Linked DNA regions of Caenorhabditis elegans. The protein of the gene in region 1 purifies or fractionates together with the protein of each later gene. This does not show direct contact. Each region holds a gene or a part of one and is shown on either strand. Other genes may lie near its edges. The genes, in order: slt-1, nhr-202 and C04A11.2.

What was found.
Region 2: the proteins of slt-1 (region 1) and nhr-202 fractionate together in Caenorhabditis elegans (co-fractionation; one large-scale study listed by BioGRID). This does not show direct contact.
Region 3: the proteins of slt-1 (region 1) and C04A11.2 fractionate together in Caenorhabditis elegans (co-fractionation; one large-scale study listed by BioGRID). This does not show direct contact.

What each region holds. Positions count from the first base shown.
Region 1 is NC_003284.9:14,669,710-14,679,633, forward strand, and holds the start of slt-1 (Slit homolog 1 protein), read left to right. Parts: upstream 1-4,618; 5' UTR 4,619-4,665; coding exon 4,666-4,811; intron 4,812-4,854; coding exon 4,855-4,926; intron 4,927-5,373; coding exon 5,374-5,445; intron 5,446-5,488; coding exon 5,489-5,560; intron 5,561-5,612; coding exon 5,613-5,711; intron 5,712-5,760; coding exon 5,761-5,868; intron 5,869-5,936; coding exon 5,937-6,081; intron 6,082-6,136; coding exon 6,137-6,297; intron 6,298-6,768; coding exon 6,769-6,840; intron 6,841-6,892; coding exon 6,893-6,964; intron 6,965-7,014; coding exon 7,015-7,394; intron 7,395-7,959; coding exon 7,960-8,056; intron 8,057-8,105; coding exon 8,106-8,306; intron 8,307-8,352; coding exon 8,353-8,424; intron 8,425-8,479; coding exon 8,480-8,551; intron 8,552-8,599; coding exon 8,600-8,748; intron 8,749-8,797; coding exon 8,798-9,005; intron 9,006-9,049; coding exon 9,050-9,146; intron 9,147-9,445; exon of another isoform or gene 9,446-9,526; intron 9,527-9,755; and 2 more. Other genes in the region: C26G2.2 (Hyphal_reg_CWP domain-containing protein), read left to right, coding at 26-137, 190-421, 853-999, 1,048-1,188, 1,511-1,591. UniProt on the Caenorhabditis elegans protein: Functions as a ligand for sax-3 receptor during larval development. Acts via the sax-3/Robo receptor to direct ventral axon guidance and guidance at the midline during embryonic development.
Region 2 is NC_003283.11:457,478-467,423, forward strand, and holds nhr-202 (Nuclear Hormone Receptor family), read left to right. Parts: upstream 1-5,110; 5' UTR 5,111-5,122; coding exon 5,123-5,262; intron 5,263-5,309; coding exon 5,310-5,440; intron 5,441-5,480; coding exon 5,481-5,551; intron 5,552-5,681; coding exon 5,682-5,810; intron 5,811-5,860; coding exon 5,861-6,070; intron 6,071-6,162; coding exon 6,163-6,359; intron 6,360-6,966; coding exon 6,967-7,231; intron 7,232-7,277; coding exon 7,278-7,379; 3' UTR 7,380-7,486; downstream 7,487-9,946. Other genes in the region: nhr-203 (Nuclear Hormone Receptor family), read left to right, coding at 2,320-2,462, 2,519-2,649, 2,699-2,745, 2,848-2,979, 3,323-3,532, 3,584-3,780, 3,884-4,151, 4,200-4,301; nhr-201 (Nuclear Hormone Receptor family), read left to right, coding at 8,280-8,413, 8,463-8,593, 8,640-8,719, 8,809-8,937, 8,984-9,193, 9,240-9,436, 9,526-9,895.
Region 3 is NC_003284.9:13,663,535-13,673,942, reverse strand, and holds C04A11.2 (uncharacterized protein), read left to right. Parts: upstream 1-5,114; 5' UTR 5,115-5,244; coding exon 5,245-5,273; intron 5,274-5,786; coding exon 5,787-5,867; intron 5,868-5,946; coding exon 5,947-6,008; intron 6,009-6,054; coding exon 6,055-6,190; intron 6,191-6,239; coding exon 6,240-6,567; intron 6,568-6,771; coding exon 6,772-6,994; intron 6,995-7,194; coding exon 7,195-7,394; intron 7,395-7,469; coding exon 7,470-7,591; intron 7,592-7,642; coding exon 7,643-7,742; intron 7,743-7,790; coding exon 7,791-7,829; 3' UTR 7,830-7,985; downstream 7,986-10,408. Other genes in the region: C04A11.5 (Oligoendopeptidase F), read right to left, coding at 8,813-8,916, 9,133-9,279, 9,326-9,347.

The DNA.
Region 1 (9,924 bases):
TTCAATTTTTAAAAAATTTTTGTAGAAAGTTCGACAACCTCGACTGCATTACCAATTATCAGTGCGACACTGGAAGTTGGAAATTCGGAAGATGGCTTCCCGGAACCTTCGAGACTTCCGCAGACTGAAACAACGCCGTAAGTTTTAAAATTTTTCAATTGTTGGTTTCTCAATGTTGTACTTTTCCAGAAGAAAAGAGAAAATGTTGATCTTGAAACTGCAAGTACCCGACGAGATTGATGTGAATTCCGTGCAATTCATCAAGAACATCACGGCCAGTTTGCGAAGACTGGTTCGAGATGTGTCGACAGAATTGAGGAAACGCAGGAAACGTTCACTCAACGTGACTTCAATTGATACGAGGCAATACCATGCAATACCAATTGCAGATTCAGACGACGTACAAAGTATACCCATCAAGGTATGCAACAAAGTTTTAGCTATACGAAACTGTGATGACTGTAAGATGCGCGAAGTTTTTACACAATCTTTATCACTTTCACTAAAAATTATTTCGAAATTTATTTTACGATAATGTAGCGCTAATTAAGTATTCAACAGTTATCATTTTAACTGTAGAAGTCAACAAATTTTTTTTACAGGTTTTAAATTGCTCTTATGATGTACATAGTAATTCGTAAAACGTTGAGCATGCAAGTAAAGTTTAACTCGGAAATTGTCAATTTTTGAACTATTGGTGAAACTTTGGCTGAGATGCTTCAAAAGTCTGAAACATTTTGGAGCATTTTTTATTCGGATTTTTTGGACCAGTTTGAACAACTTCTGAATTGAAAATTACTGCGAATAGCGAACTACTGGCAAATTTAAAATAATGCAAAACATTAATTTCAGGTTGAAAACATCACCAAATCCTTAAACATAACTGTGGTCATTTTCGCTTTAGAATTTGACCCAGTTGTGAGCAATGGAGAAGAAGAGCTGGAAAAAGCTCTTCATGAAGTAGACACCTATAATTTGCACAGATATTTTTCTTTTGAGGTAGACAGGTATACATTAAAATTTTAAAATTAGAATATATATTTGCAGCCCGTGGAAAAAATATCATTCGACAGGACGCTTGTAAACGAGGAGAAGCTGCGTGAAGTGCTGTTAGCTTCGTTTGTAGCATTATTCCTATTTGTTATAATAGTTGTGTTTTATTTGAAGAAGAAGGGTGTTCTGGAACAGGTTTGTTTCGAAAGTTTGGATATTGGTACTTTAACTTTCGAAAAAAAAAAAAAAAAAAAGATTGACCAAAATAGTCATTTTTTGAAAATCGGAAGAGAACTATTCTGTGAAAAAATCCATTCAAAGGCGGAATGGCCGAAACATTCATAACGTGAATAGATTTGAATTAGTCTAGAAAAAGGTTCTTGCCAGCTCAATTTTTTAAAAATAAAAGTTCAGGTTTAGCTAAAACCTATAACGTTGGCAGCTTGGCTTTTTGGGCCATTTTGTGTTTTTGAAGCATTACAAAATATCGCTACTGAATTAAAAAAATTAATTTCAGTTATTCCGGAAGCTGGACCGAATGAAGTGTAACACCCTTTCTACCCAACCAAGTGCTTTCTCTCCAAACTCGCCAAACTGATTTTTTTGCGAAAAATCACCATACTGCCAGTATAAACATGAAACATGACATATGAGTATTGTATTAGAATATCGTATTAGCTTCAAATTGTGATACATAGAAAATGAATTATATCATTAAAGATTTTTTCTTCAAATTTTCATAGCTATTAATCGAAAATCAAGTCACAATCTCTCATAATATGTTACAAGGACATCCATTCAAAAACGACAAAACCGATTCAAGGATTAACCAGTATTTACCATACAATGTACATGACAGTTTAACACAGCATCATCCGCAATAGGCACATAATAGATTCCGGGGGGCCCATTATCGAAACTTACGCCGAGTAGGTTATGTACAGTGAGAATCGTTTAGTGTTCTCGGATGAATGAACACAGACGTACAGTAAACACTGAAGAGAGGAGGAGGGGGGGGGGGGGCACTCATTGAGACCATAGGGCAGCATTTTCGAAACTTTAGTTTTCACACAAAACGTTTCATTTCATTACATATTGTATTTGATTACTTTCATGTTTACTCAAGTTTTATTGATTTCTCGAACTCTTTGATATATGTTAGATGGTGTTTGACTATGTTTGGCGGCACGAGTGAATCAGAAACTCTGGGGATGCGAACGGAAAGTATACACGTAAAATATGCAAATCGGTTGAGTTTCGCTCAAAATTTGTGAGTACAGTTTTCAATGGTTTTCAACTTGAAATTTTAAAAAAGGTTTTTTATAAATTCAGTATGAAGGTATTATCTTAATTTTGAAGCTCTTTTTTTGCATGTTTTTTTTAAATTTCGGTTAATGAGAAAATCAATTAAAACATAGAAGTAGGTATATGCTTAGATCCCTCCGTATACAATTTCTTAAACAATATTTCGTTCAAAATCTCTATGCAACAAACTGAAAGAAATCTATTACCGTATTTCCTCTATTAGTATTGCATCCGACTACTTAACTTTGAAACGTTATATCTCGGTTGATTTTAAAGATATAAATACATTATAAACTACGAAAGAATAGAAAAAAACAAACAAATATTTTGATAGTTACCAATTTTTGAATTGAACAAACGATAACTGAGATATGAGCTGTAAAAGTTAAACAATGGGTGCAATACTAATAGAGGAAATACGGTATTTGGAAGAATGTGCATAATTCTTGCAAATGTTAATTTGCCCAATTACATATACTGCAACTTGTTTATTTTTCACTTGTTCTGGATGTTTAAAAAAATTAAAATATATTCATTATTCTTATACCTTTGCACAATTTTTTTTCTAACCACAACACTCTGAACTGACAATTTTTCTTTTACAATTTTTTTCTCGCAATAGTAACAAAAGCTCTTTTCAACAAACGTGTAATATGAGACAATTTATATAGGAAAAATGAAGCAGCGCGCCCTTATTTTTTGTTCTCCCAAATGTGTTCTGTTACTTTGATGAGTGGTTGTTGTTTTTCTTAAAATGGCACTACTGAGAAAAAATACCTTAACATTTATTTAGGTAGGAACCGTAAATTTAATATTTCCATTAATTTTTATTAAAAATGAAGAGTAATTCATAATGTTAGGTTAGGTATTTAAAGGTGATGTAGTGCCAGTGGGGAAGTTGTTAAAAACCATTCCTATGGTCCCAAAACGACCAAATATTATAATAAAAATGTTCAAATTGTTTTTTTTTGAATTTTTTTATTTACTGTCATAAAATGACAATAAACAGTTTTTGCCACTCATAATTTTGGAAGTCGACCAAAAAAAAATTTTTTTTCTACATTTTTTATATAATAATTTTGTTTTAATTATTCGCATTAAAACATTGTAGGGATCTGAACATGCGGCATTGCTTTGGATTTCCTCAAAAGTTCATATTTTTGGAGCACGGCCATGCACTACATGTACCTTTCTTTATATGTGGAGTACCGAAATCTGAGACTTTGTTATGGCCGCTCAACGTTTTTGAAAAAAAGTGTCTATTTTCAGCTAAAATCTCAACTTTTATCAACTTTTCGGTGTCACAGCGGCTGGAACTTAATTTTTATTTGTTGATCATTTTTTAGTGTAGGTCTTCGCAATTAATTACCTTAATTATGTCAATTGGGATGGTTTTTCGGTCAATGCGGGCACAAATATGATACAATTTTGTGCCCGCATCGACCGAAAAAGCATCCCAATAAACGAACTAAAAAGTTGCCAAAATTTGAGATTTTAGCTGAAAAATATACCATTTTTTTTCAACACTTTAAGCGGCCATAACTTTCTTTTGAAAAACATTCTGAACATCTCATTACGAAATTTGGTAGTTTCGGAGTCTTTTGGTCTAAAAAAGCAAAGTCTCAAATTTCGGTACTCCACCTTTAAAACAATTTTGAATCCCCCAATATCGCTTGTGTTTCTCTCGCTAATTATCCAAACAACGAGATTAATAAAGTATTAAGACGACTAACCAATGTGTGAACCCTCGCACATTTTCCCTTCCTCATCTACTTTATCATTCCCGATGAATATTAAATAAGTGCACATGGTAATAGTTAGTATACACACCCATCAGTATAGCTATCTCATCCATCCAATTGTTTTGCTCCGAGACACGAGAACAGAATCTCTTTATCATCATTGTGTTCAATGTCACCCGCCTACCCCATTTCATTCTCATTCTCATCCGGCACACACACACACACACACACACAAGTCTACAACTCTTCTTTTATCTGTCATTTGTGTTGGTTTAAGTGGTGTGTGGAAGATGCACGAAAGTGGGACTTGTCTTCTATCCCAATGTCTCATTATCACACTAAAACATTCGCTCTTTCTAGTTTTCTGCTGCTTCTCTTTTTCTACCCTTCCCGGAAAGTTTTCGTGTCCGTACCCACCCCTATCCCAACTCTTTTTTCCCTCACAACCACCGCCATTCCACACATAAATCGTGTCTCCACGAGGTTGTGTTAATGGACCGGCAGGATGGGAGGACAAGACAAACATCTCATAAAACATTAGTGGACCACCCGCCACTTGTCTAAACTTCATTTTGCAGAACTGAACTACTAATTTCATTGTCCCCAAGGATTTGTGGATGTCGGAATGCTGATTTGCTTCATATTTATTCTACTTATACCTGAAAGTGCCACGTGTCCGGCAGAATGCGTGTGCGTGGACCGAACTGTGTCGTGTGTTGGCCAACAACTCACAGAAGTTCCACAAAATATCCCGAATGATACAATTAGATTGTTAGTTTGCCATGGTTGAAAAAATTATAAATGTTGTTTACAGAGATCTACAAGACAATGAAATAACCAAAATCGGACCGAACGATTTCAGCAGTCTTATGAATTTAAAAGCTTTGTAAGTTTCACTTGGTGTCAGAGTGTCCCTTTTTGGTTTGATCTACGTAGGTCTAGTTGGGAGTTGATACGCAGGGTTCTCAACAGATTTCGCATGGTTAAGAACGTTCTGACGTCACTTTTTGTGGGCCAAAATTTCCAGCATTTTTTGTAGATCAAACCGTGATAGGACAGCCTAAAACCACTCGAATTTTAAAGTTGAACCATTTGAACACTTGAGATAATATCCCTAAGATCAGATCTTGTTTGGGAAAACTGAAAAAAACTCAACTAACGTCTAGTATAACATCATGGCTTCAAATTAATTTTTTTGGCGCAATTTCAATAGAGCAATTTTTGCGATATTTTTGTCGGTTCATATTTGCAACAAGAACACAGCCCTTCACTTTGAAGTACAGTAAATAAAACAAAACAACCCGTTTTTTTTCAATTAAATATTAAATTTCAGACAACTTATGGACAATCAAATTGTCACTATTCACAATCAAAGTTTTAGTTCTCTGGTATTTCTTCAAAAGCTGTAAGTTTCGTAGTCTTGAAAACCAATAAACTCTAGTTTTCAGGCGATTAAGCAGAAATCGTATACGCCATTTACCAGATAACGTGTTTCAGAACAATCTGAAACTTACTCACTTGTACGTTTATTCTTCAAAAAAAAATCAAATTAGTTATTATTTTCATTTTCAGAGACTTGAGTGAAAATGACATAACAGTGGTTTCTGACGCACAACTACAAGGTCCTGAATTTTTGGAAGTCTTGAACTTGGATAAAAATCATATCTTCTGGTAAGTTTTTTTCAATCCGGCTATTCTATTTTCCTTTCTCTTCTTTTAGTCTTGAGAACAATGTGATTTCTTCTTGGGTGTCTCTAGAAGTACTTACACTGAATGGAAACCGATTAACAACATTTGAAGAGCCCTCAAATGCAAGATTCCGACAATTGTAAGTTGCTTGTTTTTGTTTTCAAAAAAGAGCATACCATAGAATGTTTAAAGAAGTTTGCTTTTAAGGGACCTTTTCAATAATCCTTGGAATTGCGATTGCCGTTTGAGATGGATGCGAAAATGGCTAGAAAAAGCAGAGGGGCAGAATAAAACAGTTTGTGCAACTCCACTCAACTTGCAAGGGTCCTCGATAGAAATTCTCCAAGACAAGGTAAATTTTAACTTTGAAGGAAAAAAACGTTGTTAAATATTTTCCAAATTTTCAGTTTATGACGTGTTCCGGAAACCGAAAACGTAGATATAAGAAAACCTGCGAAACTGCGGAAATTTGTCCACTACCATGCACGTGCACTGGAACGACTGTAGATTGTCGGGATTCCGGGTTGACATACGTACCAACAAACCTTCCACCGTCTACCACAGAAATGTAAGTTCTTGTAAATTTTTTTCAAATGAATTGAATAGGTTAACTTATACATGAAATAGGGAAATTTTTGGTTTTATTTTGTGAAGCCTCCCGTGATTTTTGTTTTAAAGTGTTGAAAGTATCAGAGATGTGTGACGCTTTTTTTTTTGAAAATTTACAAAATTCATATTGCTCAAAAATTCCAATTTAAAGTACTTTTTCTAAAGAAAATAGCTTTACGTTTAATTAAAAATTTCGAAAAGTTGCTGTTAATCTGGTTAGAAGTTGCAGAATCTCTTAAAGTTTTTGAGCGTCGTTCTTAAAACTTAAAACTACATCAAGACAACGTATTTCTAGGAAGTTAACAATATTATCTATTTAATTGTCTTAGAAAAAAAAACATTGACTCAACAACAAAAAGAGAACCTGTAAACTTTCCAAGAGTGCCAAGAAGTGTCAAAAAATGTTCTGAAAATTTTTCTTTTGTTTCAGAAGACTCGAACAAAATCAGATTTCATCAATTCCCTCTCACTCCTTCAAAAATCTGAAGAACTTGACACGACTGTAAGTTTATTTTCATCTAGCGTCTTCAGTTTTTGCATCTTTCTGATTTCAGAGATCTGAGCAAAAATATAATCACTGAAATCCAACCGAAAGCGTTTCTCGGTCTTCACAATCTGCACACATTGTGAGTTCATTGGTGTCACTTTTGTTCGAACTCATCAAATTGTATTCCAGAGTGCTCTACGGGAATAATATAACCGACTTGAAATCGGATACTTTCGAGGGACTTGGAAGTTTACAATTATTACTCCTCAATGCCAATCAATTGACGTGCATTCGGAGGGGAACATTTGACCATGTCCCGAAGTTGAGCATGTTGTCATTATATGATAACGATATCAAGTCAATCAGTGAAGTAACATTTCAAAATCTTACCAGCTTGAGTACACTGCATCTTGCCAAGAATCCACTGATTTGTGATTGCAATTTGCAATGGCTGGCGCAAATAAATTTACAGAAGAATATTGAAACAAGTGGAGCAAGATGTGAACAACCCAAACGGCTGAGAAAAAAGAAATTTGCAACTTTACCGCCAAATAAGTTCAAATGCAAAGGTGAGATCAAAAGCAGGAGCGTTGCTTCCTGAAAAAGTTAAACAGAATCTGCGCAATTAGATAAGACAAATGAAATAAACCCGTAGAATACCGCTAATCTACACAGTTTGCCACAAAGCTTTGAACAAGGCTTTTATGCAGGCGCGAAAACACCTTCCTTGCCTCCTGTATAACTCTGCGCGAAACCCGAAAACTGTCGGCCGCTTTGAAAGAACCGCCTTTCGCCATATGTGGTGCAAACACCAAGCCTTTGACGTGAGGTTTGCAGGTTGGAGGCAGGCGTCAGGCTCTGAAACCGCTCATGCTTCCTATGAAAGCCCAAAGTTTGACCAAAGTTTCGCACCCAGTTTTTGAGCATATTGCATTTACTGCACATGTAGCCAATCTGAAATTTCAACGTAGCTCCTACGTTGAAAAAAAGTTTTTAACTGACTACAAATTTTCCCAAAAGTTGAGATGTTGCGGAATCTCTAGTAAACCAGCAAACAGTCCTACCACCGGAAAATACTTCAAATTATTTCCTTGAATTTCGGAAACAATGAATCCAATATAACTCAATTTCCAGGTTCCGAGTCATTTGTCAGCATGTACGCCGACTCTTGTTTTATCGACTCAATTTGTCCGACTCAATGTGATTGCTATGGTACAACTGTTGATTGCAAGTAAGTACCTAAATATACAAAAATTGACATTTACTCGCTCGAATTTCAGCAAGCGTGGACTTAACACTATTCCAACTTCAATTCCCCGCTTTGCAACACAACTCCTCTTATCTGGAAACAATATCTCTACCGTCGATCTCAATTCTAACATCCATGTCCTAGAAAACCTGGAAGTTCTAGATTTGTCAAACAATCACATCACATTCATCAACGACAAGAGTTTCGAAAAACTTTCTAAGTTGAGAGAACTGTAAGTGTTTTCCTATTTCCAATTTTTCAAAAATAAAATTTTTCAGAAGACTAAATGACAATAAACTACACCATTTTTCAAGTATGGTTTTGGATGAGCAATCAAATTTGGAAATATTGTAAGTTGAGGCAGCGAAAAGTACTACAAAAGTTAACCATGTTTCATTTTCTCAGAGACTTATCAGGAAATAACATTCAATGCTTCTCTTCTATATTTTTCAACAAAGCTACCCGTATTAGAGAAATGTGAGTTTTAAATTTTAAAAGGGTATGTACGTAATGCTACGTTTTCAGTAAAGTAATCGGTAACGACTTGCTTTGTGATTGCCGAATCCTTCCGTTAATGTCTTGGCTTCGATCAAACTCTAGTCATTCAATCGACATTCCACCATGCCAGCAATTTCAATACAGCGATAATGAGTCAGATAAGCAACGGTGTGCAGGTATCACATTTTGTTTTATACAAACTGAATCGAAGAATTTACAATTCAGCATTCCCCGAAGAGACATGCTCTGATGACAGTAACCTTTGCCCACCAAAATGCTCCTGTTTGGATCGTGTCGTCCGGTGCTCAAACAAAAATCTCACCAGTTTCCCGAGTAGAATACCATTCGACACTACAGAGCTTTATCTTGATGCCAATTATATCAATGAAATCCCAGCTCATGATCTGAACCGGTTGTATTCTCTTACTAAGCTGTAAGTTGATTGATTGAGGGTAGCGGGAACGTAGAGAGTTTCAGAGATCTTTCACACAATCGACTCATATCTCTGGAAAATAATACGTTCTCCAATTTGACTCGGTTATCAACTTTGATCATAAGCTACAACAAACTGAGGGTGAGTCAAAAAATAACTAAAAGAAGGGGTAGTGGATATGGGAAAATTAATGGAACTCACAGTATGAAAAAGCAAAAGTGGCTGAAAGTAGTGGAATTTCAAATTTACGAGCAAGAAACAAATTTAGTTTGCATATTTTGATTGTTTTATTTTTCAGCGGAATAAAATTTTCGGTACATCCCCAATTTTTCGGACCGAACAGATTGTCAATATTTTGCCACCATCCACTACTCCTTCTTTACCTATTATAACTTTTATACCATCACGTATCTCTTTTCAACCTGATTAGCTACTTTTCTCAACAGCCGCCATAGCTCAGTCGGTTAGAGCGTGGGTCTAATAAGCCCAAGGTCGCAGGTTCGACCCCTGCTGGCGGCAAAGTTTTTGAATTATATGTGAAAGCTTCTATATTTCTTATCAGTTTGATTACAAAATTTTACAAAATTACAAAATTTATGATAAATTGTTATTGACAATTTAAATACGAGTATATGTTGTTCAATTTTTGAGATTTCATGTTCATTATATTTAGTTTTTTTTTCAATTCAGAAAATTCAAACCATCATTGAGATATTTTCAAGACCAACACAAATAATGAATAATTTCCAGTGCTTGCAACCTCTTGCTTTCAATGGATTGAACGCTCTTCGCATTCTTTCCCTTCATGGTAACGATATCTCATTCCTGCCGCAATCCGCATTCTCAAATCTGACTAGTATCACTCACATGTAAATCTTTTTTTTCTTTGATTTTCCGTCTTTGTAATCTGAGAATTTTA
Region 2 (9,946 bases), on another chromosome or scaffold:
GCCTCACACCTTTGTCTATACACACTGGAGTATGTTTATCAGATTTTCGGCACTTGTGCAAACATTCACGGATTGTTAGGCACTACAAACTACAAGATTTAAAGCAGGAGAATCGTTATTTGAAAGTTTGAATCTTTAAAGTGTGTTGTCTCACAAAAACCAAATCAAAGGATTAAAAGGGTTTAAGGACGATCCGTTTTTTAGCGTTATGGGCCCGGATCTATCAGGTACACTGCCCGGTGGTGAACCCACTGGGCTATAATATTAGCCACGTCCTAGACGGGGACTGTGGCCGATAATCCAGTCGTGGATTGCCCCACTTCTCAATAGAGGCAGGGTGAACCTAGAGGATAATGCCGGACGATTGCTAGCGGCCACCACTACCGACTGATTGTGAGCTATCCCAAAAACATGAAACTGTGCTAATGACAAATATATTTTACTATAATATTTCGTTGTTTAAGCAACATAAATATGAGTCGTTTCAAAAATTCAAAAAAAAAAACTATTGAAACTTTTTTGGTAAAAATTTCGTAACAGGCCGAAAAACAAATAACGAAACTACTCAATGTTTATCAGCTGGCGGCTCGACAATCAATTTAACATTAACATTGAACTTTAAAGTCGTCTCAAATAAAATAAAATGTTTGCAAATGAATCAATACTATTTAATTTACCCCTTCCTTCCGCAATACGTTTTTTCTTGAACTATCTGCGCATCCTCACTCTCTTTTTAGATGTTGTCATGAGTACGACTTTGAAACATTTTTATTCAAATACGAGCGCAATAAAATATTTATATTCGAACCTCTTAAATATACTAACATTTATGTAGTCTAGAAAAATATTTTTCTCTTTTAATGGTAGCCTTAAAAATACATTTTTTGGGATTTTTGAAAATATTAGCGTAGTTACAGAGACTGTGGTACATCGACCAGAAAGAAAACAATTGCTATTTTTTCAGGTAGTACACTTTTTTGCTTCTCAAATATAACCAACTTTTAATAATTTCCAATTTCGAAATTTGGCCACTTTTCCGTGTCACATCTGTTTGAAGGCGACTTTTTTAAAATCATTATCTTTTATTGCATATTTTGGTACTAGTCTGAAATCACCCCGCCACTTTTTTTTATCATTTTAATATTATCCATTTTAATAAAACGTGATGTCAATTTTCCATCTTTAGGCTTAGAAACGGTTATTTCCTAAGCCTAAAAATACAAAAACTCCACACGTTTTTATTTGAAAATTTATTTAAATTTAAAGAAAAAAGTGGCGGGGTGATTTCAGACTAGTACCCATATTTTGGTGGTTTATTTCATTTAATTTCGTTGATTAAAGTACATTTTTAACCAAAAGGTAACCAAAATACATCAAATTTGCTTACATATTTGTTTTAAATGTATCACATTCAACAAAATTAGGAGACGTATACTAACAAAGTGAAGATGCTACCAAATTCCAACAAAGTCAACTTCGGACCGCTGCGACACAGAAAAGTGGACAAAATTGGAGATTTTGGCTAAAATCAATGTAATTTTTGCTACATTTGGAACCGCTTAAAATGTTATGAATTTCAAGTTTCATTACGAAATTCATTTATTTCAGCCCATTTTAAATTTAAACTAAACACTGATTGCAATTTTTGTTAGTTAATGTTGTGTACTTAAGACTGGACGAGGAGGAAAAGACGAGTAGGTTATTACATTACTAAACTAATAATCAGGAATTGACAACTTAGTTAGTGAGTTCAGTCGTATGTGGGTGACATGGGTCGTAGACACGCCAATACCCAACATTTAATTTTTCATTCTAAATTTGACAAAATTATTTTTAGAATTGTCTACGTTCAAGTACATGTTCCCAAAGTATTTCTAAAGTGTAAAGAAATTTTTACCCATTTTTTGTGTAAAAAAATACTCGATTAAACTTTTATTTGTTTATTCTGATTCTTCTTTATATCAAGTTAATTTTGTGAATTTTCAAACAAAAATTTCAATTTTTTGGAATGTTAAAATATCTTCAAAAAATTGTGAGAACCCGCGCGCTCAGTTCCTTGCAGAAAGTCCCCTTTCTTATCTAAACCTGTATCAGTTTTTGTTCGGAAAAACTTCAATTTCTAATCTCTAAAATTTACGTGCTCACTACAACATACACATTCTGTCTCTCCACTGAACTATTCAGTTAATGATTGTGAGCAAATTTTCATAGATCAAAAGTGCAAACACGTGATATCATCGTCTCGCTAGTCTCTGACACATTTCTTTTACTTTTTGTTTTCAATTTTTTAAACTTTCCAAAAAAACTAACTTTTCATACATGAATGCCTTGTGCTCATCTAGCTCATCTTTTCCCGATCTCATAGTTGCCGTATCGGAAAAATGCCCGGTTTGCTGGAAACACACAGCACACGGAATGCACTTTGGAGCATTCACTTGTCGAGCTTGTGCAGCTTTTTTCAGGTGAGCCTGTGCGCAATAAAATGATCAGAAAGTGTAATATAATAGAAAAATTTCAGACGTTTCGCTACTACAAAAAATCTTAAACCCTGCAAAAAGAGCAATGTTTGTGAGTTTACCAAAAATGGATATACGAGTTGCAAAAAGTGCCGACTACAGAGATGTTTTGATATTGGAATGAAAATTGACAGTATGCTCAAAAAAAGTTTGTATGAAAGAGCAATAAGTTATTTTTTCAGATTTCCAATTTGAGAGGGATCCCTATAAAAGCGGAAAAATTCCATTTGTAAGTTGGCCGTCGAATTTTTTTAGGCCAGGATGTTCTAGGCCAGGAAAAACTTGGCCACTGATTTCTAATTTTATTTTTCTTGGAAAAACATTTTTCCAGACTTTGGACACCTACCTTGACAGGCCCAGTTTGATCATTTTCACAGCTCTTGCAGAACTTGACTCACGAGACTCGAAAGTCTACGTTGACGTTCAATTTTTAATTGATCGAGCGTTCAGGGAGCTTTTACAGGTAATCAAGAGTTCCAAAAATATTCCTGCTTTAATAGATAATTTGAATTTTCCGCCAAAAATGTTTTTCTCAGAGAAATTGAATTTCCCGCCAAACATTTTTTATTCCAACAATAAGAGAAATTGAATTTCCGCCAAAAATGTATTTCTTACAAAATTTGAACTTCCCGTCAAACATTTTTTTCTTATAAAATTTGAATTTCGCGGCAAATTTTTTTTCATAAAAATTGTCTTTCCCGCCAAAATTTTCCTCGAAAATTTGAACTTCCCCCAATACTTTTATACCGACCACAACAAGAACTTATTGCCATGCTCCCGGAAACAAAGAAAAATCGATATTCCAGGGCTGCGAATCACCTATCAGACAACCGAACATCTTGAAAAAACTGGCTCTAGGCCTGGAAAAAATTCGCAGTACTCAGTGCAATGTGACAAAAATCCTGTCAAAATTCGGGAAGGACGAAGTTCTTGCAATGTGGGAAACTGATATGTTGAAGATTGCAAAATGGTTCACATATTTCGACAATTTCCAGAAACTTCCATATAATCTTCAGGTTTGTGCCGGTAGATCAAACTTATACTAATGAAAAAAAAAACTTTTGCAGATCGATATGATCAAGCAAGTCTGGGCTATTTGGGCGGCAATGGAAAAGCTGGCAAATACTGCAAATGCTAAAAAAAATTCCACATGCGAAAGTGCGAATGTTGTGCTTCAGATTGACGATGATTTGGTGGCCTGTGAACAGTCGATCGAGATCGATCTTTCCTGGTGCTCGAGTTATAAAACCGAGCAGTTGCAGTTGTGAGTTTTGGAATCCACAGCGGCCGACATCGATCGAGGCTTGCGATAAATGTCGGCTGCTTCTTATCATATACCCGGAGATCAACGATAATAACATTTTCAGCTTCGACTTTGACCATCAAGCTCAGCTCGAATATTTAGTGCAACTAATGGTAGATCTCAATCCAACAGACGAAGAACTCAGTTATATGCTATGCCATATTTGCTTCGAACATATCAAAAAATCATGTGACAGGTTTACTCAAGAAACCGTTGAGCAGCTTCAAGACACCCTTTCTGATCATTTACATGACTACTACATAAACCATGAAAACCGCCCGACTTACTCAGGAAGGATCGTTTCAATGATAAAGCTCAACAATGCTTTTCAGGTTTTTTGTTCTATGAATTCTAAAATTAACCTTTTTTTGAAATTTCAGAAGTACGTCCAGCGGGAACGACTGAAATGTGAACTGATGAGACTGTTCAAAGTGTTATTCGTGGAGTATTCAAATCCTGAATTATTTGTGGATTATTGGTAGTCAATGGAAGTGCGGAAGATCTCAAAAAATTATGTTTTTTTTTTCTAAAAAAAAATCATTTGTTTGTATCTCAACATGCTTTATTATTACGGCAAAACGACGAATAAAATATTTTAATTTGAATTTAACTCTGGATTTTAAATAGAATAAAATTTTGAATTTTGCGTGAAAATATAATACTATATTGGACATAATTCAGGAATTCCAAAATTATTTTTTTGAAAAAATTAGATTTCCGCGGTAAATTTCAGAAAAAATATTGAAGTCTAAGTTTCGCGCCGAATTGTTTGAAAATTTTGAATTTTGCGTCAGCTCTCGCCGAGCTATTTTTGAAAAAAAATTACAAATTTTTCGAAAACTTCAATTTTGCTGAAAATTAATTGAGAACGTTGAACCTTGCGCTGAAATTTCTGTAAAATGTTTTTAAAAAATGAAGGGTTTTGCTCAAAAATAATCACGCACTACAAACTACAAAAACTACAAACTATAAATAAACCATTATTTTTAAATTTAAAACCCTATGTTTCTTGAGCATTTAGAAGATAGTGATGCCACTTTTTACATTAAAGTCGACAAAAATTTTTATTAGGTCACTTTTTCCTATTATTATACTCTTTGATCTTTCAAACTGTAGGGCACCCACACATACACTACAAAATACGCGTTTTGTCCTTCCATTTTCTCTGCGCTCTCTTCAAAGTTCAACAAATAATTTTTTCATCATATGGTTACACCGATTTGAAAATGTCTTTATTTGATTTTTACGCTGGTTAATTTATGCTGAAACAATACATTAAAAATACATATTCCAGGAAAACAAAATGGATACCCCTTGCTCATCCGGCTCCTCACCACCGGACCTCACCATTTCTACCACTAAAAAGTGCCCGGTTTGCTATAAGCCGCCCCATGGGATTCATTTCGGAGCGTACACCTGTCGAGCTTGTGCGGTGTTTTTCAGGTAAATTTCTAATTCTAATATTTTAACAATATTTTACAAAATTCCAGGAGATTCGGAGCTTCAAACAATCTCAAGCCATGTAAAAAGAACAATGTTTGCGATTTTTACAAAAATGGATATGTGAGCTGTAAAAAGTGTCGATTAAAAAAATGCTTCGAAATTGGGATGAAAATTGAGAGTAAGGGATCTGGCTCCCTATTAGTACTAGTTTTTTTCAGACTTTCAATTCGAAAGGGACCCATACAAGAGAAGTTCAATATGCATCAGTCTAGCTGGAAGAATTCCACCGGTAAGTTGTCTTATAAAAAAACGGAAAATTGTTATTGAGACTGAAATAAGTGGCCCGACATCCTCCGGGTTCCACGCCTCACCATCAAAAACCCAAACTCAAGGTCGGGCCATGCACATACAATTTCCAGACGCTTGAAACATTCCTTGCTCGACCAAGCTTTATAATTCTCACTGCTCCACCAAAAGATGCACAAAATCCCAAGGTCTATATCGATGTCAAATTTTTGATTGACAAGTCCTACGGGGAGTTACTAAAGGCAAGATATTTCCAGCTAGTACAAGCTTTAACTAAAGTTGTGTACTTCAGGGCATTGAAACACCTATTCAAACGTCGAATATTTTGAAAAAGCTGGCTTTGGGTTTACAGCAAGTCCGGGGGTCTCAGAGAAAAGTAACGAAACGGCTAGAAAAATTCGGAAAAGATGAAATGTTTGCAATGTGGGAAAATGATATGCTGAAAGTTGCCAAGTGGTTCACCTACTTTGAAGATTTTCAACAGTTTTCTTCGGAATTTCAGGTAAAGTTTAAAAATTTTGCAATGTTTTGTGTACAAATTACAATAAAAATATTTTTTTATTTATAAAAATAAAAATAAATAAAAATATTTAGATAGAGATTATTAAAAAAGTTTGGATTGTCTGGAATGGTTTGGAAAAGCTGGCAACTACCGCCAAAATGAGAAAGCGGATGAATTGTGATGATATTCTTATGGTATTACAAATGGAAAATGATCTAGTGGCTTGTGGGAAGTCGGTAGAGTTCGACTTATCTTGGTGCTCAAATTACAAAGCGGAGCAGTTTGCATTGTGAGCATTATTTTAAAAAAATTAAATCATTGCCTATATATTAAAAAATAGTGTACGTCTGTTGACTACGTCATCAATGGGCGGAGCCTCTCCATTTGTGGCGAGACTCATCGTTGCGAGTCCCATCGTGGCGAGACGCATCAAAAGAAAAATATTTCGGCAGGAAACTGAAAATTTTCTAAGAATACAATTTTGGCGAAAAAATTAAAATTTCTGAGAAAAGTTGTTAGCGGGTCTTTCCAGAAAAATCTTGAAATTTCTAGAAAAATCTGGAAAATTTTAGATTTTTCTGGAAACTTCTAGAGTTTCCTACAATAATCAGGAAACTTCTAGAAATATGTTTAGAGTAATACAAACTTGAAATTTTGATTTTGTTCTGAAAATTAGCTGAAACTTAATTTATAAAATTGAATTAACCGAAAAAATTGACTGAAAAAAATTACCCGAATTTTTAGTTTAGTCTCAATTTGGCGGCCAATTTAAAAATGTTTTTGAAAAATCCAATTTCACTCTACAACTCACCAACTTAAAAACGTAAGACTTGAAAATTCATCAATTTTGTTTTACGAACTTTTCGAAAAACATTACTCTCTTACTATTTTTTCAGCATCGATTCAAATTGGAACAAACATGAAGAGCTGCTGGAATTGATGGTACAACTCAACCCAACAGATGAGGAACTTTGTTACATGCTATGTCATTTGTGTTTCCAACAAATTAGCAAACAATGTGACGGGCAAATACTTGAAGCCGTTGAGCAATTTCAAGATTCTATATCAAATCATTTACACGACTATTACTTGAACCATTTGTCCCGCCCGAATTATTCCGGAAGGATTGCTGCTTTGATGAAGCTTAATAGTATTGCTCAGGTATTTTATATTAAACCTTGTCTGGAAAAAACTCTGAAATTTCCAGCAATTCATCTACCAAGACCAAATAAATGTGGAGATTTTGAAAGTGTTCGAAGTGTTTTTTGTAAACTTTTCCCATCCGGAATTATTTATGAACTACCAATAACGAATTCATAATCTGTAAATAAACACCTATATTCTTGGCACATTTTTGCTCTTTTTCTAAAGTACCAAGTGCTCTTCGCACCTATTGTTTGCACTACAAACTACACTATATTATTCCACATCAGACATTTCTCGTAGAGTCTGCGTCTTCTTTTAAATTTCTCGTCATATGCTCGGAACTACCTTTACAACTTTTTTTAAAATCGGAGGTGCTTGTTTTAATTACTTTGAAAAATGACGTTATCTATTTTTTTTGAATCGTTAAACTTTTCAAAAAATATTATTTAGATTTTTCGTTTCTGAAAGAAAATTTGTTTGGAAAAATGTAATTGTTCTTGTTCGTTGACATTATTTTTAAACATACACAAAATCTCAAAATAGTTTTGAAACTTTTTTTTTTTGGATTTTTGGATTTTTAAAATTTTCATGTGTCATTTTGTTATTTTCAGCATCAAAAATTTCAGCTCATTTATGGAAAATCCGATTTTTTTTCTAAAAAAACCTGAATATTTTATTTTGTTCCCCAGCACTTTAGGATATTCCCCCTAAAGCAAGTAAGCTGTGTAAATACTACCAGGTCCATTATAACACCCGCAGAATACCCGAGAAAAGTCGGCAATTGCAAACATGTGGGGAAGAGACCAAAGAATCAATGTACTTTCTTTTGAATGCGTCTGTGTTTTGATGAGTTGAATGACGGAGACGATGACCTTATTCGATTAGAACCACATGGTTTCGCACTCCTGTTATTAGTGAAATTATGTCCGAGAGTATTTGGATTTGAGAGATTTATGTGTTTTTAGATGGGTCATTTGAAGAAATTTTTTATTTTGTTAAAAACTCATGTTAATGCTTTCTTAATTTTTTTGTCATTTGAAAAAAAAAATTTAATTTTCAGAAAATGAACAATCCTTGCTCATCTTCACCCCCAGACCTCACTCTTTCAACAATAGAAAAATGTCCAGTTTGCTGGAAGCCTGCTCATGGCATGCATTTCGGAGCATTTACATGCAGAGCTTGTGCAGTATTTTTCAGGTGAACTCTTAATTTGTAAAGCATCCCCTAGTCAGCTCATAAATTTCAGAAGATTCGGAGCTTCAAACAATCTCAAACCATGTAAAAAGAACAATGTTTGCAATTTTGATAAAAATGGATATGTGAGCTGTAAAAAGTGTAGATTACAACGGTGTTTTGATATTGGGATGAAAATTGATAGTCAGTAGAATTTGTTGGTATACGTCTCAGCAGTTTTTATTTTCAGATTTTCAATTTGAGAGGGACCCGTATAAGCAGAAGCTTGAAATGCAGGCGGCTTTGAAAGTTATTCGGAACATACCACAGGTAAGTTTTTGAAGAATTTTTAGCACTTGGCAAAAATGGTCAATGGGCTGTGACGTGATAGTGCAGCCTAGAAATTCAATCATTTCCAGACCCTAGACACCTTCCTCGGCCGGTCCAGTCTCATAATGTTCACCGCTCCATCTTTTGATGACTCTCCAACGGAAGTTCACATTGATGTTCGATTTCTCATTGACACTGCGTACAGGCAGCTTTTGAAGGTAGGAAGCTTTTTTTTTAGTTTTTCACAAAAAACTGATATTTCAGGGTCCCGAAACGCCAATTAAAACTCCAAATGCACTGAAAAGGCTTGCGATTGGGCTACAAAATCTTCACAGTGCTCAGGAGAAACCAACAAAAGTTATGGAAAAATTCGGGAAAGATGAGACTTTCGCAATATGGGAGGACGATGTGCTGAAAACTGCAAAATGGTTCTCCTATTTTGATGATTTTCAAAAACTTCCCAGTCAATTGCAGGTAAGATTATTATTTTTTCAATAATGATAATTTGTTGAATATACAGCTGGACATTGTAAAAAAAGAATGGCTTGTTTGGAGTGGATTGGAGAAGCTTGCAGCACTGGGAAAAACTAGAAGACAAATGATGTATGAAGACTTTGCATTTGTACTTCACGTGGACAATGAATTAGTGGCGTTTAAGAAGACGATTGAAGTTGATATATCATGGTGTTCGAATTATAAACTTGAGCAATTGGATTTGTAAGTTTCATGTTTTCATGTTTGAAATTACGGATTTCCAATAGTTGCTCCCAAAATTAACCTAAAACTAAAAAATTAAAAATTTCCAGCTTCGACTGCAACTTCAAAGAACGTCACGAACAACTAGTTCAGCAGATTGTAGCCCTCAACCCAACCGACGAGGAATTGAGCTTTATGCTATGCTATTTAAGCTTTCAACATTATATGAAACATTGTCCGAAGCACAATGTGGAAATAGTAGAACAACTTCAAGACTCCATATCAAATCATCTACACGAATATTATTTGAACCATATGAGCCGTCCGAATTATTCGGGGAGAATTGCCGCTATTATGAAGCTCATTAATGCTATACAGCTATTTTTGCTACATGATAAAACCAAGATGGAGCTGATGAAAGTGTTCAAAGTGTGTTTCGCTAAATACTCGCACCCGGAATTATTTTTTGAATACGAATAAGTGACTTTATTAAATAACAATTTTTATTCGATCTCTATTTTTCACTGTATA
Region 3 (10,408 bases), 1.0 Mb from region 1:
ATGAAGACGACAAGGGAATTGCATAAAGTAGCTGCTGGTACTAATACTCAGTGTCTAGCACGTTAAACGATGCCGTCAACCGATTGACTATAATGTTGTACGGTACATAACAAGGAATTAGTCGAACGGTGGGTGGTGGGGGTAGAGAGGAGGAGAAGTAAAGAGGAAAGGTGAGTAACAGGTGCAAAGCCGGTAAACGACTGGAATTATTGGCAGAGAGTGGAACAAACGTGAAATAATGACAAGAAAAAGTGCACGCAAGTGCTGCGGAGAGGGCGAATTTGACAGAAATTAGGTAAATAATTAGACTCGGCGTTAAGCGATATGTGCATGGTTAGGGAAATAAATTATTAAGCTGATAAACCATGCTAAATTTTTGATAAAACATCATGACTCGTGGTACGTTTAAAGTATAAAAAATACTGGAAAATCAACATGGACCAGTTATAACAGCCATCAACTGCCCGCAATACTAAAAATATATGGCTCACTTGTATAAATTCAAAAGTTTTATTAGAGAGGAAGTTATAAATAAGTAGTGGTCGTGAAACTTTTAAATACCTATTCACTTTTGATTGTAAAAATAAAACTAAGTGACTTAAAAATTGAAATTTTTGCTCAAATCAAAAATTGGCAATTGGCCAAGTATTTTTTCAGGACAGTTTACTCCAGTTAAACAAAAATGTTTACTACTAGGGACATATTATTTGATTAACATTAGTAAAAAAATATTGAAAAGCTTTAAGAGTTACCGCCAGCTGTGTAGTGAAATTTTTGCGACATCTTAAAAAAAAAGCGACTTCCGTTTTGCAGGTCAGTTCACATAACCGAACAGCTGTGAAAAATGAGTCTCACAAAGTTCCGAGAGAACAAAAACCTTTGGAAATGACAACCACAACAACAAAAATCAGCGCATCACATCCACTTTACCGAACAAAAAAGAACAGGACAACTCAAACAACAAAAAAAACTCTCTCTCACAACAAATAAGAATTAAACGGATCAAGTTGACTAGGTACTCGTCCCTGCGTCAAACGTATCAGTGCCGGCATCAAACCGAAAAGTACAGTCGTAAAAGTAGAGAGAGAGAGTGTGGGTGGAGGAAAGGGACACGGCGGGTATAATAAGAGGAAATACAACTGATATCAACTCGATCATCATTTCGACGCAATACGTCGTCTGCGTCTTCCTTTGACTACCACAATTGTTGAACATGATGGAAGATGGCATTGCGGCAACACATGCCCAAATACTACTATTTGAATAATCTATCAATCGCTTCAAAACTGTACGTTAGGATGGAAATGGCGTGAAAACTGAACAGGAAATTCTCATCTGGAAAACTATACTAGTATGCAAAAAATTAGCACCGTACCACAGCCAATAAAAAATTTTAATTGGACAGATCTCGGATTTTTGCTTACATTCTCAGAAATGTGATGAATAAAACTCCCAATGAAAAAAATAGCATTTACCTTAGAATGTTCAATCTGTATATATCAGTATTCTAGTTCGCATATTTTTTGTTCATTAAGGTATATACACTTTCAGTAAAATGTTTTTTGCAACTTTTCCCATACAAACATAGAACAAAAAGCAAAAAATCTGATTTTTTGCCACTACGACAAAAGAGCAGAAAAACACAAAAAAGTTAGGACTGGCAATGTGTTTGGTCGTGGAAAACTTAACGATTATCCATAAAACAAACGAAGAAGCATGTTTCGTCCTGTGGCCTTTCTACCCTTGCCCTTAATCTAGTGCTAGGTTCAATGGGGCAATCCTTTGGAAATGAAAAATGTTATTACTTGTATATGGAAAAAATTTTGACAGCTGCATATTTTCAGTTGAAAACAGGTGGCGGCAAGGAAAAATACATTTTTTAACTTTCATCATCTACGCTTAGACACATAATCTCAATTTATTGACGACGTAAAAATTGTTTTTTGAGACTGTAAAAAATTAGGGGACACCAAAATAATGCTGTTTACAATTTATTAAATCCTAGGAATTTTTAAAAATTAAAAATGTTGTCTTGTCAAAAGTAGAATAGAAATGCTGGTTGAAAAAATAGCTCTGGGGTCATTTTAATACTCAACTACTGTAATTCTGAAAAATGGCTAACCGAAAGCACAAATATCGCATTGTTGATTATGTAATTTTGAGTGCAAGACTACAATTTTAAATGCAAACTCAATTTTATTAGAAAGATTAAGCTCCAGCTTAAGCCCAATCAAGCCTCAATCATGAAATAGTTTAACTTAAAAAATGTGCAAAAAACAAATTATCCAAGTAAGACACTTTACGATATTTTAGTTTTTCAAATTTACAGTCAGCATTTGCCAGAAAAGAGGAAGAAAAAAGTTGGGCTTTTGAGAAATTTTTTATAGGAGAAAACTGGGTAATTGCCATTTTTGACTTTTTATGTTTCCACTATACTATTTTATCATCATATAATTATACATAGTAATGTGAAACTTGTTTTTCTAAGTTTTAATATTTGAAAATTAAAAAAGTATTGACGAGAAAGAAATACCGGAATTTGTTAATAAAATCCTAGTTCCAATTGCAAAAATTAAAGCTCATTAATCTTAAGTCAAAAGAGACGAAAGGTTAAAAAAGAAGGAATCAAATCGAAAAAGAGGAGGAATGAAAAATGAATTGCGGTGCGGTGAATTGAAAGAAATGGTCCACTATGTATTTGATATATTTCAATACATTCATCGCATGCGCCCAGCAGAAACAGCTGTTGTCATCTCAAGCAAAAAAAGAGAGAGTGGGGAGAAATGATGGGTTCATCGTCAGGGGGAAAAGGGCAAAACGAACATGTCGGAAGTTGAAGAGCGATGTAATTCATCAGAAGATGGCAAAAGTATGATGAAGAGGACAAACTAGATAGCCAGTGGGAGGAAGATTTCGGCATATTTTATGCATTGCAACCACCAAACCCATCAACCAACACATGTGGGTTGCAGAAATGTTAAATGAAAAAAAATGAAAAAAGTTATGAAATGTCTAACCATCTCGGACTTATTCAATAGGTTCAAAAGATCGCGGAACTAAACCTGTCAATTGTGAAATAATTCAAGTGGAGAAGAGGGGCGTTGTTTTCAATAACCAAACAACATGTATTCAGCGATCATCTGTTCAATGAGTAGTTAAGAAAAGATTAAAAGTGAAATGTTCTTGGCGAACTTCACTTTTTGTTTGAAAAAGTTGAGACAGACGTTTTCAGAAGAAAAAAGAGAGATTTCAAAAGAAAAAACAACAAGTATGAAGTTCAACTTTATCAAAGATTTCCGTTCGGCAAAATCAGATGTTTCCAGTAGATATGTCCATTTTTTATGGTTATTAACAAGGCATACAATAGAAATTTGTTAGAGTTGATTCGGTGTAATACTGAAGGTGTCGGATATTTTTTTTTTCAAAAAAATAATAAATAAGTGTCAACAAGTCTAACAGAAACATGGAGCAAAATGACACATTTTTCGGAGTCGTACCTTTCATTTGTCAAATTTGACTTGTTTTGCGAATTGGGCAGGGGCAGTGCCAATATGAAGAACAATTTCATACAATTATACAATTTTTTAAGAAGAAAAACTGATAGAAAATCATAAAGAAAAAGTGTTTAGAACGTAAAAAAAATAAAATTCAAGTTCTCATTCTACATTTTGAATAATGACTTTCAGGCTTGAAAAAAAAAGAAATCGCAAATTTAAAATTCTAAGAAACGTTCCGGGAGTTTCATTAATTTCCTAAATGGTTCCCTGATTATTCAAATTTTACAACGGGTTTTTGAAATTTCCAATGTTTTGAATATACAAACAATAACTATTTTTTTGAAGAAACATGTTTTTGCCTACCGGAGCAGAACTTTTTTATTTCCACAACGTACAGTTCAAATCTAACAGGCCTAGAGATCGTCAATTTTCTTATCACCAAAAGAACTCCAAGAATGCCACTAATAACATTACGCAAAAAATCGATAAAATGTCGAAAAACAAGCGAAATGGTCAGTGCGACAAGGGGCGCAGAGCAAACGTGGCGAAAAAGGGTAAACAAAGGTGAACAGTGAAAAGAGATAGTAGAAAGAAGGAGGGAGGGCGTATTTGAATGAATAGTACGCAATTCTCATGTGGTGTGTTTGCGGACCTTGGCAGCGGCAGAGTTGTGCATTTAAATAGGGTCGGCTCCAAAGAGCACAATTAAGTTTTTTGGTTATTAATAAAATTTTAGAAGGGGAATAAACTTTTTTGTTACAAAACAAGTTTCTTATCTCACACTAGATATTTCTTGTCTTCACTGTGATATTTATTGATTTTTTTTGTGTTTTGTGTCAAAATTGAACTAGTTTCATAGTTCAACGTTGTTTAAATAATACTTGAAAATATGTTTTCCGTTGAACACGAAACGAGAATAGTAAATCTAGTGCCTTTTGTTTGAGAAAAGAAGGATAGCGTTAGTTAGAAATATTTTTTGAAAAGGGTTTCAAAAAAAAACATTATGCAAGAGTTAGAAATGATATTACTGAAAAATAATATATATTTAAAATTTGACAAGATTTTTCTTTTGTGTCAATTAGTAAGTTTCTAGGTAATTTTAAAAAAAAAGTCTAACATACCTTGTTAACGATACAGTCAAGTTTGATATTTTTCCACAAAATCAAGACTGAATATTTGCACTAGATGCGTTTAAATTTGGTCGTTCTTGTTTCATATGCTATTGATATTTTCAAGAAAAATTGTTTTTTTTTCAATCCCGTATTCAATTTCAAAAATTTTTCTCTGAATCGGGAACTTTGAAATCAACAAAATCCACACCGGATTTCCTTTGTTGACAAAGTTTTTGGAGTGTGTTTTTCTTTAGCTAGCCGTAAAGGGTCCTTAACTTGTAAAAACCTATTAATATTGTCGTATACATTATTGAATTCATTATTGAATTGTCAGGTTTCAAATTTGTTTTGCCGGTTCTTGTTTTGCACATTTACCTTCTTCCTTTATCCATTTCAAATCCAAGCCTAGCATTAGGACACTGTTCTAATTGGTTTGTTGGTATTCCTTGCCTCATTTCATTTTCTCCGTGCTCTCTCGGTTTCACACAGTCTATTACGTATTTAGGAGCTAATAGGTAGCGTCTGCTCGGACCAAGGACACAAGACCGCCTTCCAGTGCACCGCACCTGTCGTCCTTTTCTATCTCAATTCACTTCCCGGATACCAGTTCAGTTGACTCGGCTTACGGATCAAATATGAATCCAAATGACTCAATGACACTTTGGTATGTTTTAAGTTTATTAACTTTTAGAATTGTTTTATATTTCAGAATGATAATATTCTAAACGTTTTCTAAAATAAAAAGTTTACAAAAAATAAAAAATAAAAACACATCAAACGCATACAATATGACAATAATTATAATTTTTCCATGTAACTTTTAACTTTATTTTGGTTGAGCTCGTGTCACAGCTCTTATTTCCTTCGAATCGCCATCAAAATGAAATTCATGTTTTATAATCTTATTTTTACTAAATAAATTGAACGACGTTTTTAGAAAATCAATTTCAAACTATACGTTTTCGGCACATAATCGATATTTTCCAGGCCATGTCAGTCGGAGAATTCAAAAATATACATCACGTTTTCGTTTAAAAATTAACTTCTAAAAATGTGTCGAGTAACGAAAATTATCTAAACATGCTAAAATAATATGTTCTCAAACGTAAGCTAAACAGTATAAAAAGTTAAGGTGATTTTTTAAATACTTCATTGTCAATTTTAATTATAATTTCAGGAGCTCCTACAAAACCACTGAACAACGTATTGGACCCCTACCATCCACATCTACTCCGTTGAAAACTCCTCGATCTCATAGGTTACTTTTTTTACTTTTTTTTTTCATTTTTACTTTTCCGTTGATTTATGCACATACAACACTGACATAATAATTGCAGAGGTCCGGAAGAACCAAATGTCACTACTATTGTTGTGGATACTGAGCAGGATGAAAACAGAAGTAGGCTCTCCAAAAGTGAAACACGGCTTAGTTAGAGTATTTTCAGATTTGTGCAATTCAACGCAAAGCTTACACATTTCATGTCGCACCTGCAGAGAATTAAAGTTGGAAGTTCAGGAGCTTCGAAAAACTGTTGAAAAACAGGCACAATATATTCAAGTTCTCAAGAAATCTCTCAACTCGTATGTAGTGAACAAGAATGTCTCTCAAAAAATATTGTTTTTTTTTCAGAACAAGTGAAATGGATTCTTCTGAATCTCAACATGGAAATGGGTCAACAGCGAGTAGCGTCACAAAAAGCAGCACACGCGTCCAGAGAGTAACGCCCACCAAACGAGATATGGCATCCAGTGGCAGTACGAGCACAAGTAGTAGTACCTCAACTCCAGTCGTCAGAAATATTTTGCAACAACTAACAACGCCAAGGTCTGCTAGAACATCTACTAGAGCTGCATCAGGAAACAGAACACCTACTGGAACACCAAATATGACGAGAAACGTGAGGCCAGTCACAAATAGGACAAGCTCCAGCAACGTATCCCCAGCAGCACAAGTGACCGTTAGTTTTACAACATAAAAAGCAAACTTATAAAGTTCAGGCAAAATGGGAATAATTAGACAAGTTGCATAAATAATTTGTTTTGCTGTTCCTGCATAAACTAAGCTTTTTGATTTTTAGATGTTATACAATCGTACAGTTAGACTACGTTTTTGTAAAATTGAACAGACTTACTCCTATATTTATTTAATAATTTATTTTCAGCCCGGAACCTCTTCAAATCACCGGTCCAGACTTCCTCCAACGATCCGAGTGCCTCAATCTGAGCCGATTGGAACTCGTTCGCGTCCAGCAAGATACCAATCACAAACACTTCCAAGACAATTAACAGCTAACAATTCTAGAAGATCACAGTCTAGACGAAGGCTATTTGTGGATGAAGAAAGTAATAATGAAGATCGTAATGAGGAGCAGCCTGAAGTTAACCGTAAGTGGCGTAATTGGCAAACTTGAGATTGAATATTGATTTGACTGGTTATTTTGGAAAGTGAGACCTCAAATAAGGTGTAGGGCAAAAAATTAAAATATTTGTTACACCTTATGGAGAATGAATGTCAGTGATATCAGCAGTGATACCAGTGATATCAGAAAAATCATACACAGTTTCAAGTTAATTCTTAACTTTAGAATACCACCGCACACGCAGTGAAGCAGCAATCGAGCATCTCAACATTTCCCCAATGAAGGATGATCAGTGGGCTCGAGCGTGCCCGCCACGAATTCATCTCGAACGAAATCGCCCAGAATTCATCGAACGCGTCGAAGCCCGGCAAAGCATTATTCGAGCTGCGTCTGAGAAACGAGCAGAAATCGAGCATCGAAAACGAGTGAGTGCACTTCTTGAAAAGTCTTTGGATACGTTTTTTTTTTTTTTTTTTCAAATCGAAGACAATTATTTTTAGCTCGCAGCTAGAGCAGTGGCCAGTGGACAAAGGAGTGTAGAAAGTGTTAGCAGAGAGCTCTTTGCTGATTCAACGGCAGTCAAAGCTTTTTATGAGGAAGATATGAAGGAGATGACAATGAAGTATGTTTTTTGAGAACAATTATCTCAAAACAAAAAAATCCCAATTTTCAGAAATATTCGAAAATCCCAATCTTACCAAAACCGAATTCATCAAAGAATTGCCAATGTTGATAGAAAGGCCAATAGAATCATTGCACAAACGCATAGTTTGGTAGGTTGTTCACAATTTTTCCTTTGCCAAATGGTTGAAACATTTCAGAGAGCAAGATCCACTTCTCGATCACGATATCACCAATAACTGCTTCGAATCAAAAATGTATTGTCCTGTAAATTGAAAATGTTCTGTGCCATTTTGATCTCATTAAAAAGTGTTGTACATTCCAGCTTTTAGCATATTTTGTAATAACAACAATAGTTATGATTATTTGATTTTTTAATGAAACAAAATGCATTTATTGAAAAATAATGAGCTGAAAATACAAAGCTGTATGATTATAATGTTATGTTACAGATAGAACCCCCAACTGAAATGAAATTTTGGCGGTTTTTATTATTGCTTTGTTTTATTGAGGAACATGCTAAATTAAGAATCCGAAAAAAGCAAATAAAATGTTATGGTTATTCTAACATGATTATTTCAAACTCTATAAAACAAGAAAACAGTTTTAACTTGTTGTTTCTGTCAACTAACGTTCCTGACCAAATTCCTGACCGTTCCACCAAAACTGCAAAAATATCTGCACGAAGTGGGATTCGAACCCACGCACCCATACGAGTACCAGAACACCCAGGAGACCTCGTACTTGAGGCAAGCAATCGCTTGAGTCTGGCGCCTTAGACCACTCGGCCATCCGTGCTACGAAAGAGTATACTAGTGGCCTCGTACACATGCAAGAGTAACGGCAGAGAGAGAGAGACAGCGAGAGGAGAGAAAGGAAGGGGAGAGGGCATAACATGTGGTACACGTAAGATGAAGACGGGTGAAATAGTACCAAATACAATTTTAGGCGTTCGAAAAAAAAAGTGGTATTGCAAATATTTGGAAACTTTATTGTCAATAATTTCCTGCAACACTCCAAACATTATTACCGTCCAAAATATTGTATTTGTTATCATGATATAAGAGCATTTTTAAAACTTTGATGAATACATGTATTTCAAGCAATCTTTGATTCTTAATAGTTGAAAATTATTAGAAGTTGTCGGTTGATTGGTTCATTGATCTGAAAAATAATGAAAAGGTGTTAAATCAATTTAAAATTGACCTGCCTACCATTTCGCTCATTTCGACCACGATGACACCTTATCTGCGTTCTCCTTCATAAACTTCTCCCGATCCTCATCAAAATGTTGCTGAACTTTTTTGCACAGACCTTCAAGCACACCTAAAAGTTATTTGTCATTTGGATTTTCTACAATTCTGAATTGGCTGTATTTTTTGTGGTGCAAAAAGTTAGTTGCACCTTCAGCTGCGCGAAGCTAAATTTCAGATACCGTCTGCACTACTAAAATTGTCTTTCAAACTATAAGTCGAAAAAAATCTTGCGTGCTACTTTCAAGATAGGTACGGTAACAGTTCTCCAACTCCTATAGATTTTTACCTGAGGTTGCATGTTGCGAACCAAGTATTCCAGATGAAACTTCGTGACGAGACCACGAAGGCAACTTTTCGTAGTTTTGCTTCATGAACAACTGCTTTTCCTCGTTTTGTTGCTCTTGCAGTTTCTGATACACTTTTTGAAAGTCACCTGAAAACATACACTGAATAAATAAACCACGCTTTTTGAAACTTACTTTCTTTTTTCGAAAAACTCATTGCCAATCTGAAAAATAAAGTATAATATTAATCTTGAAAGTGACAAGGCATAAAGTTTGAAAACATTTTGTCAAGCTTTCGTCAGTAAAGCATATATATCTCGGAAACGTTGAATAAATATAACAATGCCTATTGTATTGGAATTCTTATAATCTTTTGTTGGGTTGGCATTGTTAAAAGTTAAAAAAAATTTAAAACGGTAGATATCAACAAAACACCCACAAATTCATGTCATCTTGGAATAAAAAATGTTGAACTTCAATATGTTCAATTTTCCAATGCTTAAACAAAATTTCAAAGATAAAAAAACCAGAGTCAAGAAAACGGATAAGTTTCATAATGGAGTGCTGCAAAAAGTTTGTTTCTCGGTTTATAAAGTTAGTGAATGTGATTGTGAAATCGTTGCGCAATCTCACTTTTTATGCTTTCCAGGAAAATAATTCAAGGTCTGCCAACTAAATTTTTTAGATCAAAATTTTATGGGTATTTATAAATTAGAAATGGCTATTCAATGGATTAAAAAATTTCATTTTCAATTTTTGTGCAATGCTTTCTTAGGCACATTAATATTCGGAAACTGTAAATGGCCTAAATGCCAGTAGCAATATGCCAAAAAAAGTGTAGTATCACAGCATCTCTCTCGAAGACGTATTGAGAACTGCAAAGTGTTCTTTCCCTAGAATAATATCATCTTTAAAAGTCACGAGAAACGTGATAACCAGCTATTTCTTTGTATGATTCGGAACAACAAGATGTCATTCAACCGGTTATGTACTGATTCTCAGTTATATTTTCAAGGTGAAACAAGTATTTATAGAATGATCAATGGAGAGGAATGCAGGAAAATAGAGTGATTGTCGGAATGGAAATTACGTAGTGACCAGGTAGATCGTCTGTTCTTGGGTCAACAGCAGATTAACTTGAAACGCACAATTTTCTCGTTTTTAGAGAATAAAACCTTTTTTATTCTGTGACATTTATTGTCATTTAAAAAAACGGTTTTTAAATGTTCGATTATCCAAAAAAAAGGAAATTGAATTTTGAAGCCATTAAAAATGCAC